Linked DNA regions of Tribolium castaneum. The protein of the gene in region 2 interacts with the protein of the main gene of each other region in a pairwise test. Links are inferred from orthologs where the notes say so. Each region holds a gene or a part of one and is shown on either strand. Other genes may lie near its edges. The genes, in order: fu and Smurf.

Region 1 (9,475 bases), on a different chromosome or scaffold from region 2:
AATGCTTTAAAACGAATCCTTTGCTATTTAGTTCTTTCTTTGCCGTTTCAATATCGACAAACACAATGTTTAAGTCTTTGGGAATCCCATAAATGTCCCTAATTGCATCATCTTCACTATCACTACTCAACACAAAAGGTTCATCTTCAACTTCACTTTCTTCATCACTTGAATATTCATATTCTTCGTTGCATGAAACTATTCTATTATCCATTTCGGTTAAACACTTTGTAGTGTTGAAATCGCTACTTGAAGATGTAAAACTGGACGACTTCACAAATTTTCTTCGGCAACGCATCAACAGCGACCTAAAATTAAATTAAATCACAAATCTTAACAATTCAGAATCTAAATTAAAACATGGTTCAGAGTGTTGTGCATTTTCTAAATTGTTAAGTTTAAACATATAGGTACTATGTGGTCATTTGAGTTTATATTTATCCTATCTTTTATTAGTTTTTTAATTTGTGTGCTGCTTATTGTCATAATTAACCAAGCTGAAGAGTCAAATAATAAAGTTTTGAATAATAATATTTAATTATAATGCATTTTTTTACCTCAGTTTGCTCTAGTTTATCAATCACAAAGAATAGAAACCGCCTACTCTAATTACACTGGTCTGCAAAAAATCTTTTTTTTTCTCCATTGTGGTATGTGTAACATTATAAATTAGTGCTCCTGAATCGAAATTTAATAACAAAAATTCTGCATCACATATACTTTTTTTGTAATATGTATTTTTCTTTCTCAAAATTTGGTGCTCTTCAAAAAAACTAATAGCTAATTTAGTTTACAATTTCAATGAGAGACCTAATTATTAATAATAATTTTACAATGTTTTAAAAAAAATAATTCGGTAAAATGCGACGTTGGCGTTTTTATAATTTTGAAACAAATAATAGGTATATTTTGTATACAGGCTAATCCAGAGTACTTTTATTATACACAGGGTGGTGAATTAAAGTTATATTTTTATATGGAACAGCCTGTATATTTTTGCATAATTAGATTCTATGCAAAAAATAACGTTACTTTATATAAACTATTATGGGTCGATCTCTTTTAGTTTCTAAATTATTAAACTTTTTTTTTATAAAAAGACCAATTTTTGAAAAAGCCACCTATGAATATTTTCCGGTAAATTTGCAACAGAAAAATTCAGAATACCTTGTCGTTTTAGGAAATAACTTGAAACACGGAAATAATGTACAGGGTGTGCCAAAACGCAAAAGTTGAATAACTCATGTTTTTTAAACTACTTAAAGTGTTTAAAAAAATAAAAAAAATTATTTATTTTAGTGATAATTCTTGATGAGTGAAATTCATTAATGTATCAAGTAATAATTAGATAACTAATGTAATTAGTCACAGTAGAACATACCAAAAAATTAATTACCATTTGACTATCAGATTCTATAGGTTAACAATTTATTTTATAAAAAAATAATTTTTTTGGAAAATTTTGAAAAACAATTTAAATTTTCTTTGCAAACCTGATATCATTTGAAAGCTTATCAAAAATGCTATCGATACATAGAAAAATCATGGTGTTCCATTTGAAAAAAAAAATGAGTTATTCAACTTTTTGCGTTTTGACACAGCCTGTATATTAACTAAAAGTCGACTATTTGCTAAAAGTACAAGGTATTCTAAGTTCTTCTGTTGCAAATTTATTGGAAAATACTCATAAGCGACTTCGCAGTGATTTTTCACTTTTTTATAACGAAAAGTTGAATAATTACGAAACGAAAAGAGTTATAGACCTATAATAGTTTACATAAAGTTACATTATTTTTTTGCGTAAAATTTAATTAAACCTTGAAATAATTAGAAATTTGTTTTTTCGTCACATTGCTATGAAATGAATAAAATTAACATTTAACTCTATCTCCCTATCATAACAGCGGTTTTAGATACCTAACAACCTTCAAAAATGAATATTAAAAAAAATGGAACAAGATAATTTAGTACCAGGCAAAACGTTTTTAATTATGTGACGGTTTTTACACATTTGTAAGGCTTAATATTGGCCTTATAACATTAATAACAAGAACTTAAAGGCAAAATATTTATACATGTGTCTCAGAATGGTAAAGAAATGATCCAACGGTAATTTGGCGTAATTTTAAATAAAAGAAATGTGTTTTAAAATTCCATTTTTTAACTTGAGGGCATTTAATTGAAAGACCACCTCCTAAAATATGTGCATTCTAAATTTCATAACAATCCGTTGACAAATAACTGAGATATTAAGCTCGAAAGTCTTAGCTGAGACACCCTGTATAGTATTAATATCAGCTTTTCATACGAATTTTTAGGAACACTCTTGACCATGTTTATATTTAGACACTTTTCAACTTACTTGAATAATGTTTGTATCCTGGAGTATGGAAGACAAGTCAGCCCCCCTGAAATTTATCACAAAAACGCACACGAGACAATCTCTAGCTATATAAATTGGAGAAGTAAAAGTAGACAATGTCAGTTTTTCGAATCTTGAGAGTGCAACTTTGAATTAATAGTTTTACGTTTTTTTTGAGGTTTATTGGAGAAATAAGTGAGGTTAGAGTGCCTCTAAACCATAGAGTAATAAAAATGTGGAGCGGGATTTGGGGCAAAGTCAGTTTTTCGAATCTTGAGAGTTTGTAACTATGAATTAATTGTTTTATGTTTGTTTGATTATGTTACGAATGCCCCGAATTTCGTATAATAATAAGTTTTTGGGCAATAATAATAATAATATGCCAAAAATAAGAATTGCTTAATTATTAATAATTATATATCCTCTTACAAATTCACATTTTGCATTATGTACTGTAAGTTTATATATAACTGTCACTCCATTTATATCATACAAAAAAAGTAAAATTAATAGTATATTAGGATACGAGTTTTATAAGACGCATTTTGTCGCACGCACAAATTTAGCGCACGACGAGCGCAGCGAGGAGTGCCATAATAGAGTAAGTGCGACAAAATTCCTTATAAACGAGATATCATACAGTATTTTTTCTACTGCGCACTTTTTGTACCAAAAAAATTAATTTCGAAATTTAGGGAATTAAAAAAAGATTAGAAAACGGTTTTCTTCAAATGGAATGACCATGTTTTTTCAATGGTAGTCAAAAGAACATCAATTTTTATGCAGACTTTTATTAACATCTTCTATATCTATCTCTTACAGTTAAAAACTGAATTTTAGCTCATTATTTTCATTTTTAATCAAGTAAACTTTCGATATGAAAAAATTGTGCTATTAATTAAAAAAAATGTTCGATTTGTTTACCATTTTCATTCAGGAAGTTCAAAATGCCATGCCAGACTGATTGAGTTACCTTACATAATTCACTAAGTTATAATAAACCATAATTAAATGTTAATAGTTTTACTGCTTGTTCGATAATAAACCAGCAAAAAACTAAAAAAAATATTGAAGTTTAACATTATTGTTGACCATTTTGCAAGGTCTACTTGATTAACTATCAAAATTATGAAGTAAAATCTCTTTTTTGTGATTTTGTTCAAAAACAGTAAGAGATAGGAAAGAAAAATTGATAGAGAAAATAAGAAAATAATAAATAACTAATAAAGACCAATAAAGAATAATGAAAGAATAAAAAATTGAAAAAAATGTGGCCGCAGAAGACAGTATTGAAAATAGAAAGAAAGGAAGATAAAAAACTATTAAAAAATAGAAAAATATTATACTCCATTAGATATTACGATACGCAAATCGCGTATCGTAATGACCTCAGTAGTTACACAACTTTTGACTCACTTGATTATATCCTTGAGTATGGAAGACAAGGCAGCCCCCTCGAAATTTATCATAAAAACAGTTGCGGGACAATTTCTAGATAAACAGGAGAAGCAAATGTCGTCAAAGTCGATTTTATAAATCTTGAAAGTTTTTTTTGTAATATTACCGCCATCGTTTTGTTTACATTTATTTAGAGGTTAGATTTTCTGCACGAAGTCATTTTCATTTAACACGACATGATTGTAACAATTTATTATAAAACTGGTCGTTTTAACGTAAAAATACACATAAAAATCAAGCTCTTGTCACTCTAGGTCCACTCATCATTTTTTCTCTAATAGCCCACCTCAAGTCGGTTCTGTTGTCTTCACCTGGAATTTTTTGTCGCTTCCAACACTTTTGATATTGGTGGTAGAGTGCGACAGGGTCACTCTTATTAATATTTGTTTGAATTCCCGGTCTTATGACTACAAGCTTAAACGTAAAAAAACTTACAAACACTTTAAAATACTTACAGGAACTTTTAGGTTTGCTAGAATTAATCATTTTTTTCCAAGGCACATCTTTAACGGGCACAAAGTCAAGCGTGTCTTCTTGACCCTTTTCAGGGGCTGTTTGTGCCTCCAACGTGTTTTCGTGACAATGGTGTTGTGGTCCTTTACTTGTCTTGATTTTTAACGAAATTACACTTTCTTTCTTTGAAACTGTTTTGGCTCTTGAAGAGTGAGTCCCTTGTGAATGTAAAACTAGAAACACATCATCTTTATTTTTTTCGTTTTCGTTCGGCACATCTGTTTCATTTCCAAGGCTTTGTTTGCTTCTCTTGCGTTCTTCATACTTTATCAATTTTTTCAAGTCTGAAAACCAAACTTTTGTTCAATTAAAGTAACAAAAAATGACTCACCAACCGTAAACAAATTCTTTCAATTGTTGTGGGTTAATGTTGTGATAACCCAAGTCATTTAAATACGCTAATACTTCCCTAGGGCTTATTTTTGTGGTCATTTTTAAGAAAAAAAATAAGAAAACGTTGAAACAAAACCTTAAATTTCTAGGCAACATACGAAAATCAAATTCCCTAAAAGTGGGGACATAAAATAAGTGTTACAAAACCTCGCAGTTGGTTAATTTCACAATAACGTTGATTTTATTAAACACTGCTAATCACAAAATCATTTTTATCAACAAAATTGGTATTTCTTTGCAAAAAATTGCTTTCCACCCAGTCAGTTACTTTCACGAGGGTTGGTGTCCCTGCCTGTCAGCGTGACAAACATCTGATTGTCAAAAAAATGTCACGCGGAAGTGTAAGTAAACAAAAACAATCCTCTCCAAGTGTAAAAAATGATATGGACAAGTATGAAGTTATTAAATTATTGGGCGAAGGATCGTTTGGACGAGTTTACAAAGCGAAAGTAATCGCAGATTCATCTTTTGTTGCCTTAAAAGTTATCTGTAAAGTGAGTTAAAAACTGAGGCTCGAACTCGTTCAAATTTATTTCATTTAGGGTCGAAGATCGAACAAGGAAATAATTGGTCTACGAAGGGAATGTGAAATTCAAAGACATTTGCATCATCCCAATATTATACAAATGCTTGATTCGTTTGAAACTCCAAATGAGGTGAGACAATTTTTCCCAAGTTCTTTTCGTTTTTTAAACAGATTTTCAATGTACCGTACAAATGTTAGGCAACCAACACCAAATCTGGTGATTTTCGTGTTAATTTGGTGAAAACTGTATAAACATTTTGTTTAGTGATTTTAGAAAAATGCTTTTTATACAAACAATCACATTTACAAAAATTTTGATTCACTGTTCAACGTCTGTTGTTATTTTTATTTAAGTATGATTTAACAAATTAAATGGGATAGTAGAGACAAGATGGAGTTTATTTTTTTTTTAATAAATAAAAAACCAATGTAAATTAGTCTGCTATCCCAGTAATGATTTAAATCATACTTAAATTTACAAAAATTGTAAAAAGTTGTGGTGACACCAGAAATCTAACAGTATTCCTCCAACATATGTTAAATTATTTTTATGTTTAATTATTTGTAGAATTTGTGTTCGCAATGAAATTACATTTTTTCATGTTATTTTTTATTATTTTTTCAGTTTTCTTTTATTTTCGTATCGTTTAACTGCTTGTCTCATAATTTTTTCTTTCTATCTTCGTTTAATTTTGTGTGTTTTCTTTTATGCCTTTTTTGCATTTTTTTATTTTGTTTTTTTTTAATTTTGTGGGTTTATTTCTCCTGCGACATTATTCTATTCGTTGCTTTAGCATTTCTTTTTCATATTACCATTGCTTTACTTTTTGTTTTTTTTTACCTTTTGCTATATTTCTTTCATATTATATTGTCTTCAGTTTATGGCTTCGTCTTTTGTAGTTTGTCGTTTGTGGTTTATTCTGTTCTTTTTTTTCTATTCTACCGAGTGCTCAAAAACCGACGCACCAACTTATTGGAATATGGTAGAGAATTGCTTACATATAACGGTAAAATTAGTAAAAAAATTCTTTGTATTAAAATTATTGATAAATAATTATATTAATTATATTATATATAATATATATATATATATATATTATAAATATATATATATATTATAAAAAATATATATAATTATAAATATTAATTATATTTAATTAGATGATATGTGGCAACGTTGTCTAACAGTGATGATCGCAATAGAACTTAATCAACAATAAAAATAAATTATTTTTGAAACGGTTTCCTAAGTAATAATTCCCAATGTTGACACATCTACAAATTGTGATTTTTTTGACGAATTTTATTTTTTTTAATTAAAAAATCTGCTAAAGTCTGATAGGAAATTTAAAAATAATTATTCATTGTTGTGTTAGGGAACGATTACTTAGTGTGAAACATAAAACTATTAAAAAATAATGAAAACTGAAGAAGTTTACAAAATAAGTTTGTAGCTCCATATTTTTTAAAATATGACATTAGGAATTTTTTCAAGATTTTTTCCGTGATCTACACATGCTTCTCAACAGCGTACCACTGAGTTGGTGCGCCAGTTTTTGAGCATCCTGTATAGTTCTATACAGTTTTATTCTATTCTATATAGTTTTTTCTTAATCATCCTTTTTTTACATTTTCAATAATGTTTTTTGAGGCCATCTTTTCCAATTTTTTATTTTTTTATTTAAAATTTAGATTTTTTGTCTTTATTGGTTATTCTTTATTTTCTTATTTTCTCTTTCAAGTAATTTCGTAAAACAATTTTTATTTCCTTGTACTGTTTTTTCCTTATTATTTTTGCCTATTATCTATTAATGATCTTGTTGCTAAATTAAATTGTTGTAATCAGTTGATCAGACGATCTAAAAATTTTTGTTTGAAACACCAAATAAAGAGAGACAATTTTTCCTTATATTTTACTAAGTTCTTTTCGTTTTTTAAACAAAGATTTTCAATATAGTGTATAAATGTTAGGCAACCAACACCAAATCTTGTGATTTTCGTGTTAATTTGATGAAAACTGTGCAAAAATTTTGTTTGGTGATTTTAGAAAAATGCTTTTTATACCAACAATCACATTTACAAAAAATTGTATTCACTGTTCAACGTCTGTTGTTATTTTTATTTAAGTATGATTTAATAAATTAAATGGGATAGCAGAGACAAGATGCAGTTAATTTTTTTATATAAATAAAAAATCAAAGTAAATTGCTCCTTGTCGGCTATTCTAGTAGTGAATCAAATTATCCTTAAATTTACAAAAATTGAAAAATAATGTTTGTGAATTACGCAGGACTGAGTTGTGGTGACACCAGAAATCTAACACAATTTGAAATCAGGAAACCAGTTACAATCTGAGTATTCCCCCAACATATTTAAAATTATTTTTATGTTTAATTATTTGTAGAATTTTTGTTCGCAATGAAGTTATTATTTTTTCAGTTTTCTTCTATTTTCGTATCGTTTGACTGCTTGTCTCACCATTTTTTTCCTTCTGTCTGTTAAGTGAAGGGGGCGCTGCTGTTGAAATTGGCGGGAAATGATGACGCGTGAGGCGCGTACGGGCAACGCCTAGTTAGTTGGAAGGACACTGTGGAAGTGTCAATGTCGTTGTTGAATCTAATTTGCTAATAAATTAGTTTTTGGGTGAATTCCGAGTTTCATTTACAGAGCAGCGGTAGGATATTGCTCAAATAATCGTTTCCGATAGAGAGTGGTGAATTGTGGTGATTTTGTGAGGAATTTGTGGGTCGCCAAGGCAAGGGCCAAAAATTGAAGTTTTGGGAATCTGTACCGTTTCATTCGTAACAAAATTGTGTTTTACTACTTGAAATCGAACAAATCAATCGGGTGCTAGCCGAATTTATCTGATTTTTCTGATTTCTGACGAGTTCTAGGAGTTACGCAACCACACGCTGTCAATTTTCATTTGGGTGTGGCTCAAAAGGCGCGAAAAGTTTTCTGATGAGATTTTCGCAATGGGGCGTCACAGGTACCGAGGAAATGTGGACTCGGACGACTCGGACTCAAGTGACGATGAGCCACGGCCGAAAAGGTCCGCGCCTGGGGTCTCCACTACAGTAAATTCACCCCCAGTTTCGGCCGAGTCCGCTAGAATCGCGAGACTTGAGCAACTTGTGGAAAACTTGAATCGACGTTTGCTAAACCGCAATTTTGAGCACACATCAGGACAAGTTGGCATTAAAAGTGACCTGATTCCTGAATTCGCTCCAGGAAACCCCAATTTTAGTACCACTAAGTGGTTGCATAAAATTGACCAGTTGGCTCTCGTGAACGGTTGGGACGAACGTACAACGATTTACGGCATGATAAGTCGACTCAAGGGGTTGGCCAAGGAGTGGTACGACAATCTCGATCCCTCAGCATACGACCGGAGCTGGGATGAATGGAAACGTTTGTTACAAGCCACCTTCCCCGATCACCACGATTATGCTTCCACACTTCGTAAGCTAGTGAATAGGGTGAAGGAAGATGGTGAAACCTGGGCACAATATTATTTTGGGAAATTAAATCTGTTGCAGGCTTGTGACATAACAGGAACGAATGCAGTCTCCTGTCTTATTGATGGAATCACTGACGTGACTCTCAGAAATGGGGCTAGAGCAGGGCGTTACGTTACACCCGAAAGCTTGTACGCTGAGTATTTGTCGACTCTGAGATCCGAAGGTGACAAGCGGGATACGCTCGCAAAGCAGGCGCCTCGGGAAAGGAGGAGGTTCCTTCCAAGTCGAGTCGAAACACAAAAACTGTATTCGTCAGTTCGGTGTTACAATTGTCGTAATCGAGGACATGTTGCGACAAAGTGCCCGAAACCAAGAATTGAGTGCAAGAAATGTGGTCGCATTGGACATGTGGATGCTGAGTGCCGACGTGGTAACGTAGTAAAAGAAAACATGTCTAAGCAGGCACTAACGACAAGTGTAGCTGACGCAAGTAATAATAAGAATTATTACATAGACATTAAGGTTAATGGTAAGCCGACGCGAGCTTACATTGACTCAGGAGCTGAACCGGTCCTTGTCAAGCAAAGTGTTGCTAGAGAATTGGGACTGATGTGGCAGCCAAGTTTACATTTGATTCGTGGTTATGGCCAGGGAATCACCAAAGTGCATGGGGAAGTCGAAGTAGAGCTAGAAGTGGATCTTGTCAAGGCAAACGTAAAAGCTTTGATCGTCGAAGACAGTGCACAACGTGTGCCTGTCATA
Region 2 (9,475 bases):
TCCCCTTTAAACTTCACCATCAGTCTTTTGCGCATATCTTTCGGTCGCATTTTCATTATAAGTCTATAACTCTCTTCAAACACTTCATTACGCGAAACTTCAAGTCTACAATGACCACTTTGCGGCTGCAATGCCGTTAATTCCGCTCGTAAAGTCTTCAATTTCGCAACTAAATCCCGCCGATATTTCGGTAAATGATCGCAATCGTTGAGTAGACTTTGAGGCAACTCCTCCACAATCCGAGTGCGAGGCGGCGGTGAAAGTGGTGCCGGATTTTGAGGCACTGCTGTCGTTGTCGTTGTTGTCGTAACGGTTGTTGTTGACGTTGAAGGCGATGTTGTACTTGCTGTTGTCGTAGTTGGGGTAGTTCTAGTTGTTGGCGTCGTGGTTGAGGTGGCGCTAGCCCGACGTAAAATATTGTTGAGTATTTGAGTGTTGAGGCGAGGGTCGGTGAATTGAGTCGTCCTGTTGTTGTGATCAACGAAATAAATCTGTGGAAATGAATGATATAATTGTTGTTTATTTATTTATTTGGGGTTGTACCCGGCCTGAGGCTGTTTGGCGCATTTCCCAACCAGGCGGAAGGGGGCCCAAATGGTCCAAAGCCAGGCTCAAGGGGGCCAAGTCTTTGGGTATTCGGGGGTCGTGCCATGTCGATACGCCGGTAGGGATGTGGTAGAAATAGACCTGTCCCTGCTGAGTTGTCCTCAACTCTGCCAAAAAATAATAAATTACGAAAAATACGAAATAATTTTACTGTTGTTGTTACCGTAACCGGGAGGCAAATCCAGCTTGCTGTTCTGTGTAACCGGCCCTTGGGCTGTCGTCCCTCCCGAATTCCTGTTATTCCTCCCTGACCTCCTCCTGCTGCTCCCATCCCTTCGCTCCTCTGCACTCCTTTGCCGCCTTTCGCTGCGCACGATAGCCCTTTGGCCTTGCCCTTGCCCCATTTGTGGGCTCACAACGTTCGTATTTTCGCCATTCGGTGCGTTACAACTGATATTATTAGGCGCTGGAATAACAGACGTCGAAGTCGGCGATAGCGTAATAAAATTGTTTCGATTGTCGGTCGTTTGAGGCGTTGATGTGGTTTTTTGTGGACTGACCACTGGCGAAACCGGCGATGTACTCGAACTAGGGGTGAGGGTCTCCCCCGTGTTATTATTCAGAATTTCCTGTACACCCATCTGTCTTTATTAATTAAAAAACACCGCGAAAAAAATAACTACAATACCTGTGTGCCCCCTATCGTATTTTCGTTATTAGTGTTATTATTATCGTTTTGATGCGTGGAGCGTCTTCTTGTTTTGTTGGTCGATTGTGGTTTAATCCACTGTGTGGACCTGGTGATGTGATTAACGTAGTAGGGCCTTCCGTTTTCCGTTCGGCGTTCCTCCCAGCCGGGCGGTAAATCGTCGTTATTTGAGGGCGAAGAATCGCGATCAGTTGGCCCCCGTAACTCGCCTTGGGGGCCAACAACGGCCAAAGGTGTACCACTACAAGGGCCATCGCGTGATAATAACGAAATGATGATTTGACCTTTGACCGGTTCGCTGTCGGCCGGACATGCTTTTCCCAGATCCAAACATTGGTCTGGAAATTAAAATCGTTACGGTACTGCACACATGATGCGACATATGGTTGAGTAATAGAAATAACGGTTACGGTACTGTGAAAGTGAACGGAAATGCTGCGAAAAATTCGCTTTTTAAAAATAGAAGATACTAGAAACGGAAATGGATCAGATCGATTTCCGTGTGTTACATAATTTTGTGACACACACATACACGTGCTAAGATTGTGGGATTAATGTTTCATTATGATTCATGAAAACGACACGCAAAACTGCGATCTTTTAAATTATTAACATATTTTTATAAACGGCGGAGATACAGTGTATGTCGTTGTGATTATTTTTTTACTGAAAAATTCCTTCTGCTTGTTTGTGTTGATAATATTGACAGTTTAAACGACGTAACAAGAGATAAAAGTATGCATAACAATGCTTTATTAACCGGTGGCGTGCAACAAAATCAATTCTGATTTGTATTGCCTTCGAGACAAGACGAAAAATCGCTAAATAATACCAATAAATTGCGTCGTTTTCAAGCCAAAATCTCAATTATAACAAATAAAAAAGTAAACGTAATTAACACCTGAATTAAAAGGGTAAAGAAACATAAAAAAACACAATTATTTACAGACGTTTATTATTTTATTATTATTTGTCATATTATAAATGCCTTCCCTTCAAAAAATACCTTCTAGACAAGCTGAAAAATCGCTAAATAAGACATTTTGCTTAAGATTCCATTCAAAATTAATGAACAAAATTGAGGATTAATTAAATTTTTCAACAATTGTCTACCTTATTTTTGACAATTTTTCTGTAATAATGTTTTTGCATAAAAGAAATCAAAAATTGAAAAATATTTTTTCATTAAATTTCAGTTTTTGTGTTTTTTCGGCTCGGTTTATTTTGGCAATAAAATAAAAAACGTGTTTAAAGGCTTTAAAAAAGTAAGAATAACTCATTTTTTGACCAAATTTTATCATTTTTCAGTCTATACTTGACGAAATTTTACCCAAAAACCAACGAGTTGGAACAAAAGTTACATCAGATTTATTTTATTTTTATGATTTTGAAACCGGTTTCTAAAAACACCCCCAATTTAGACTTATTTTGCGGATTTTAGACGTTTTTTGATCAAATCTTGTAAAATAAATGAGTAGGCGTGTCTTTTATGGACGCGTCATTTTCATTTTGGGTGACTGTACACCATTTACGAGCCAAAACAAAACACGAATTAAAAAAAAGTAAACGAAATCTACACACACCTGAATTAAAAAAATAAAAGAACATAAAAAAATATGCGAATGCACAATTATGACATCAAAAGAGGTTTCTTGTTTAATTATTTGTTTGTCATGTACTTGCGTAATTTCAGCCAAAACAAACCAAAAAGTTAAAAAAAAGAATATGTAATATAAACAAACATAATAACAATAAAAACATTAATATAAATGACAAATAATTCATACATCCATAAACTGACTGATTATTAATTTTTAAAAATCCAAATTAATTTCAAACACAATAATTGATTTTTTAACCCGATTGGTCCATGAAATGTTTGCAAAAAAACCTAGGCCACAGGCTAATTAAAAGTTGAAACGCTGCATTTGAAAAAAAATCAATTAAAAATTAAAAAAATCGGTTTACTGACGACCTTAATTTGTCTTAAACTTCCTAATACAAGCGCATACTTTACGGTTAAACCTAATTACTTTACAAAAAATTTTGAGACGCGTTCAAATCGCAGCTTGTAGCTAATATTAAGCCACCTGTTGTTGATTATTTAACTATTTAAATGAACAACATTTGTTACTTCTAAAAATACAATTTGGCCTAAATAAAGTAACAGATTTGCAAACAACTTTATCGAAAATGTCATCTGTCGCGTGTGATAAATTATAACATAGATACTACGATGCAACGATGACAAAGCTTGTAGAAATACGTATGATAATGATATTATTACACGAAACGCAAACCGCCGACAATTTAGCGAGAATTCGCTTATCAAATGTTTTTTAACAATGCAAGCTTCAAATAATCTTAATAAAAAAATCAATATTCCGCACTTAATCCTTAACCTTTCCAATTGTTTTAATGACTTATTGGCCACCCCATATATCGACAAACCGTCACAGCCTTAATATGGATTTCAAATTGATTGATTGGCTCGATTTACACGCTTCCTGTTGATGACAAGAACCCGAGTTTCATACTTCGAACAGTGTAATAAATAAAACATTATTCATCACATTTAAGTCACACAAAACCGTCTTAAAAAAATGATTTTTTCTACAATGGTTGCGGAAACCGTTATTTAAATGCCACGCATCGAATCGAAAGTAATTTATTTTTATTAAAACGGTTTTCCGGTGTGACATTGGTTGGAAATCGAGTCGTTACGGCCCGCTAACCACACGTCGATTTTTTCCAATCGATTTTGCGACGAAACTAGGTTTTACCTCGACCGAATCGATGCACGTTTTATTAATAATTTAAATCGCAGTTTTACCTTGAGTCGGGAGAAAAGTTCGGCTTTGTTGGGAATAATAGCAATAATTAAGCCAATGCGGCGTCGACAATACTTTCCCAATTAAATTTTAATTTAGAATCGCCGGCTGGAATTATCTTTAATGGGTTGTGACAACAGATGTTGAAGAAAACTACAATGAGTGCACACTCAAGATAATTGAACGAAATTCGAAAACTCCGTCTTATCACTCGGGTACTCACATCCGGTGTCCCTCAGCCTCTGGATGTGCGAATTAACAATCCGGACGCAGCCCAGGAACCCGCTGCCCTGCTTCTTGATGACTTTGCGGTGGTTCCACACCGAGATCGTGATGGAATCATTGCGCCCGATGTACAGGTCGTAGTGCGAGTTCCACTTGGGCTCCAACGTGTTTTTAACGAACTCGGTGGAGTGGCACTGTCCACTACCGTCCACCGAAATCTTCGCAAAAGGGTCGGGAAGGCCTGCGAAAAAAACCGTCAAAAAACCCGCGCCCGGGCACACCCTTGCACCAACTTACGGAACAAATCCTTCCGGACCAAATTCCTCGCACAAAGAACTGCAAAAAAGAGCGGTTACATCACAATTTTGTAAACTTGGGAGGTCCCCAATGAGGCCATATTGTTTGACAGTTGGACAATGCGGTTCTTGGGGACGCTAAAACTGGGAAAAGGGCACGGTTTTTACTCACTCGTCAGTCGGATTTTTTGGGCACCATTTCGACGACTCGTGGGGGCGTTGGACATTTTCAAATTGCTGGTTTTTGTCAACACATCACTCACTTTTCACACACAACGCCATTTTCGAACGGGGCGACGCGAGCGACATCTACCAAAATGGGCGCCGAATACGAATATTTTTTTCCCACAGAAAAAAGGCCACAAAAAAGGCCACGTGGAAAAAAACTCACACAGGAAAATACTCACTTTCCAAAAAAACATACAAAAGAACTCAAAAAAATCGTCCCGTGTTCTGTCAGGTGGTTTCAACATGAGATTTTTTTCTCAGTGCGTTTTTTCCTGTGTGGGTTTTTCGTGGATTCGCAGCAAACACTTGAAATCAATTTATTCAGACAATTACACAGTGTACGCAATCTGGATGTTGTGCTTCTGCAGCAGCCCCCTTAGCTCGTCGATCATTTTCTCGTCCCGTTTTTTCGCCTCCAAAGCTGCCGTCTGGACCGTCTCGACCATTTTCTTGTACTTGCTTTCGAGGCTGTTTAGCGCGTTTCTCAGTTCTTCCTGTTTTGCGGCCGAGGTTCGCACGATTAGATCGGCCTTCTGGGCCTGGAGTTGCACCTGACTTGTCACTTCCTTCAAGTCAAGCTCTTCCTTCAACTTTTCGATTTTCTTCGAGTAGTCTTTTTCGTTCCGGTGCAGGACTTTGTCCAGTCTCGAGAGACACTTTTTCAGGTTTAAAATTTGCTCAGAATTTGCCTGGTTCGTTTGTTGGCTCTCCCTAATCTTCAACTCGCTCTGAAGTCTAGAAAAAACTACAATAAAAAATTAGTGTGTTACTTTACACCCACTCGTGTATTCTTTGCTCCTTCTCTTGTAATAAACTCATGTTTGAATCACTCAGAGTTTTAATTTTCGCCTCGTACTCCTCCCTCAAACTATCAATCCTCGCCTCCAATTCCCTAATTTTGCAACTGTACGACTTTTCCAAACTTGCCACTTCGTCCTTGTGGTACTTTTTCAAATAGTCGACCTCTTTCTGCCTCAAGTGGGCAAACTTTTCCTTGAATTCGTTCATTTCCTGCAAAAAACGCAATAACGCCACTTGTTTATTTGGTTTTGTTGGCCCCCACTTTACTCTTGATTTTGTCCAACTCCACAAACTTTTTTTTCTGCGAGTCTAGTATCACCTGTAGCTCCGCCTTTTCTCGCTCCGCCTCCGATAATTTCACTTGGAGCGTCTCGAGTGTCTTTTTCCTGTCTTGCGTCAGACAGTGCGTGTCTCTGAGCGCGTTCTTGACCTCAAGCAAATCCTGAAATTGGTTTAAACCCAAATAAAATCACATAATTGACCTTTTTTTTGACACCTTCATTCTCATCTTAAGCGCTTCTAGTTCCTGGGCCGTGGGCTTGCGGTTAGAGCTTTCCTCAGCTAGAAATTTCTCAGAATTGAAACTACCACCCCCTTTACATTTCTCTTGCTCGTATTTTTTGGCAAACTCTTCTTTGGTTTTCAAGCCTTCCATCAAGTGTTGCGTCCCTAATTTGTTATTCCCATCGTCCTCCTGGTCTTTGTCGCCACATGCGTGCGTTTCGGACGTGGTTTCGGCCAAATCGTACCATGAGCCGCTCGTTTCTGACTGTTTTTCCTCCCCTTGTCCCACGGACCCCAGTTTTTGGAACGGCCGCATTAATTTCGTTTTGATCGGTTTGTTCTTTTTTTGCGGCCAGGTGTTGTTTTTATTTTTATTTAAGTTGCGGTTAGATTGTGATGCGACAATAAAGGGCCATTGGTTTTGGTCGTTTTGGAAAAACTTGTCGGAAATTTGCGCTGGGTCGATTTGCAAGCGCTGGAAGGTTTTTATTCGTGGGAGGAGCCCACGGGGCGGGTTGTACGTGAAGGGCGGTTCTAGCACGTTGTCGTGGATCTGATTGGCCAGCTCGAGTAGGTACTTGTTGCGCTCCGCCCGTTCGGTGCAATGGGCGTTGCTTAAGCGCTCCAGCCACACCCTGTACCGTTCTAGGTGGTAATGGTTGTCGATGTGGTTGATGTGGGGCTTGATGGCGAGGAGAATTTGACGAAACTCATTATCTAACAATTCACTTTGTACGTCATCATTCATGTCGCTTGTTTTGCGTGTAAACCAACAAAAATATTGACTTAGGCATTCGCCTAATTAACGAGACATTCTGACACTTTTAATTTGAGTGACTCGTAATGACTTGATTGAAATAAAAAGGCGGACAAAAATATAAAAACTTTATTTCGAAGCAAGTGCTTACAACATACAGAAAAATAGAGCTTATCTAAGTATCACAATTAGTGGGAATTTAAATATTCAATCGTCTCTGGCCGCGGACGCGGCACCCCAAAGACAATTGCGTCTCGCAGTCGCTCTTCACTTGTTTCAAGTGCTTCTTGATTGGGTCGACCAGCGTGCCCATCAATTCCTCAATGGTGTGTTGGTAAAAAATCGGCTCAAGGTGCGTCTTCAGGTACGTTTCGAGTGACATAAGTTCGTTCAACAAGCTGAAAAAAAAGTATTATCTTTTGTAACAACAAAAACCGAAGCTATTACTCGGTTATAACCGGCAGGATGGTGTCAACTTGCATCGGATTGGTGTAGTTGTTCAAGACCTGCCATTGGTTAAACCACGAGTGCATCCTTCAAGCCAACCAATCAGCAAACGCCCCGAACGCGCCAAATTTAATTACTTACTGGTCGCTGTCCACAATATTCCTGTACTTGCCGCGCAGGTTAACAAACCACTCAAGCCCCACGAACACCTGCCATCCTGGAAAACTCAAAGTTGGCAACACTGGCGTCCTTAGAGAACTCCCGAAATTCGGAGTGTTTTCGTTATAACCCAGCATTTTCCCAACCGAACTAAAACACACAACTCAAACAAACTTCCAAATTTTTTTTTGGGAAAAATACTTGTGCAACTCCTGATTATAGCCCCCATTAAGCCACGTCTTAAGACAAAGACTCAAAGATGGCACTGCTGTCGGTAACAACTCGCATAGAGTCGCGTAATGGTCGTAGCGTGACCAGCCGGTAAAAGCGATTCCTTTAAAATTCAAAATTTTTCCGGCGTGTTGTCCCAGCTCAGAAAGCCAGGCTTCGTGATTGCTCACGTGGAATTTATTGATTGGAAGGATCTGACAGCTGGAAGTGGCGCCCTTGAATGCGGACGCGGCCCAAATATTTGTGAATACGTTACTGTACTTCTCCCACAAAGGGGCGCCCAAATTGAACGTTTCGGCCGAATTGTAGTGCCAAATCATCGGCTCGACCAAAGTCCCCAAATAATAGGCTGTTTTTACGTAAAAATGCCCACAAAACGGCATAATAATCAGTCCAGTCAAATAAGCCTTCAAATCGAAATGTGGAAAAGCTTGCATTTTTAAAATATATAAGTTAAAAAATATTATTTATATAAAATTTTAAATAAAAATTGCAAATCATGATTGATTAACTTATTGATTGGATCATGGCCTCCTTGATGTATGGAGACAACAACGAAGTTGCCTCCATACATCAAGGAGGCCATGGATTCGATTATCTGAATATAACTAATCAATGGTTTTACATAAAAATGTCTCTAAACTTAAAAAGCTAGAAATTTCTTTTTTTTTCTTTTTTTTAATATAATTATAAATTTTTCTTCTTTCCACATTTCGATTTAAAGGCTTCTTTGACTGGACTAATAATACCTTGCAAAATTTGCGTATCAACTGATCGGAGCATATCGTCCCAAATGATGATTTTTAAATTTGGGTAATTTTCTTTGATGTATTGTGCAACTGCCGTTACGTAATCGAGATAAAGGCCCGGCTTGGCGTATTTGCCGGTGGTCACCCTCTTGGAACATGCGGGGCAAAGCCCCATGTACCACACCTCCAACCAACAATTTAGCAATTGGCAAAAACATAATTACAAGTTACTTCATCAGCCCCTATGTGAATATATTGAATGCCGTTATGAAACGTGATTATTTGCTTCAATAAACTGCGCACTAGCGCCATTGTCTCGCTATTGCACGGGCACATGGAGCTGGGATAGGCCTCAACTTCCCTCAAGTGCCGCCACTGCTCGTGCTTTAGGACGTACTCCATGTGGCCGAAAATTTGAACCAACGGGATGACGGTCAAGTCGCAATCTGCGGCTAGTCCCCAGGTCAGAGAAGCACAAAACTGTGACAAACCTACCCATATCAAGCAACTGTCTCGCCTCTTCTATGGTGTACGGGGCCCCACTGACCTGTGCGCTGTTCGACAGCCCCCCAATCGGCAGCAACTCGCGCGTATACGGGAACGTATCCTCCCATTCTAGCAAAATACCAGTCGCCCCCAAATCTTTAATCAGGGGAAAAAACTGAAATTGACGTTTAAAAGTGAGGTTGTGTCAAACAAACATACTTTTTCGAAGTAGCAGAGCTTCGGAGGGGCCCCTTTCAGGTCCAAGTGGATTAATCTGGGGCAAATGGTTAATTGTGGGTCAGGGGGGTTTGTTCTTACCTTTGGGAACCTAGCGTTAAAGCGTCCATTTTTTAACCTCACATTTCACTTGTCAAAGTAAACAAATCAATTAAGGAGGGTGGAATAATAATAAAAAACGGCTATTGAGGTAAAATTTATTACATTTAGCACTTGATAAATTAATCGATGTCACAATAAAATAAATAAAATGTTTAAATTAGGTAAAA

What was found.
Region 1: the proteins of Smurf (region 2) and fu interact in binary tests that used the Drosophila melanogaster proteins (3 or more experiments, as listed by UniProt). The link is inferred for Tribolium castaneum from reciprocal best matches to the Drosophila melanogaster genes Smurf and fu.

Annotation. Positions count from the first base shown.
Region 1 is NC_087395.1:1,159,267-1,168,741, reverse strand, and holds the start of fu (serine/threonine-protein kinase fused), read left to right. Parts: upstream 1-5,052; coding exon 5,053-5,220; intron 5,221-5,268; coding exon 5,269-5,382; intron 5,383-9,475. Other genes in the region: gastrula zinc finger protein XlCGF26.1, read right to left, coding at 1-298; centriolar and ciliogenesis-associated protein HYLS1, read right to left, coding at 4,055-4,227, 4,276-4,617, 4,669-4,822. UniProt on the Drosophila melanogaster protein: Probable serine/threonine-protein kinase; maternally required for correct patterning in the posterior part of each embryonic metamere. May be involved in control of cell division during metamorphosis and ovarian development. May interact with costal-2.
Region 2 is NC_087399.1:1,656,542-1,666,016, forward strand, and holds the start of Smurf (E3 ubiquitin-protein ligase SMURF2), read right to left. Parts: upstream 4,938-9,475; 5' UTR 4,835-4,937; coding exon 4,780-4,834; intron 4,648-4,779; coding exon 4,609-4,647; intron 4,553-4,608; coding exon 4,310-4,552; intron 1,594-4,309; coding exon 1,235-1,593; intron 1,188-1,234; coding exon 770-1,187; intron 714-769; coding exon 544-713; intron 492-543; coding exon 1-491. Other genes in the region: probable DNA double-strand break repair Rad50 ATPase, read right to left, coding at 5,165-5,570, 5,617-5,846, 5,899-6,078, 6,133-6,888; hexosaminidase D, read right to left, coding at 7,097-7,295, 7,345-7,431, 7,486-7,653, 7,705-8,083, 8,484-8,667, 8,715-8,935, 8,979-9,144, 9,189-9,243 and 1 more. UniProt on the Drosophila melanogaster protein: E3 ubiquitin-protein ligase which accepts ubiquitin from an E2 ubiquitin-conjugating enzyme in the form of a thioester and then directly transfers the ubiquitin to targeted substrates.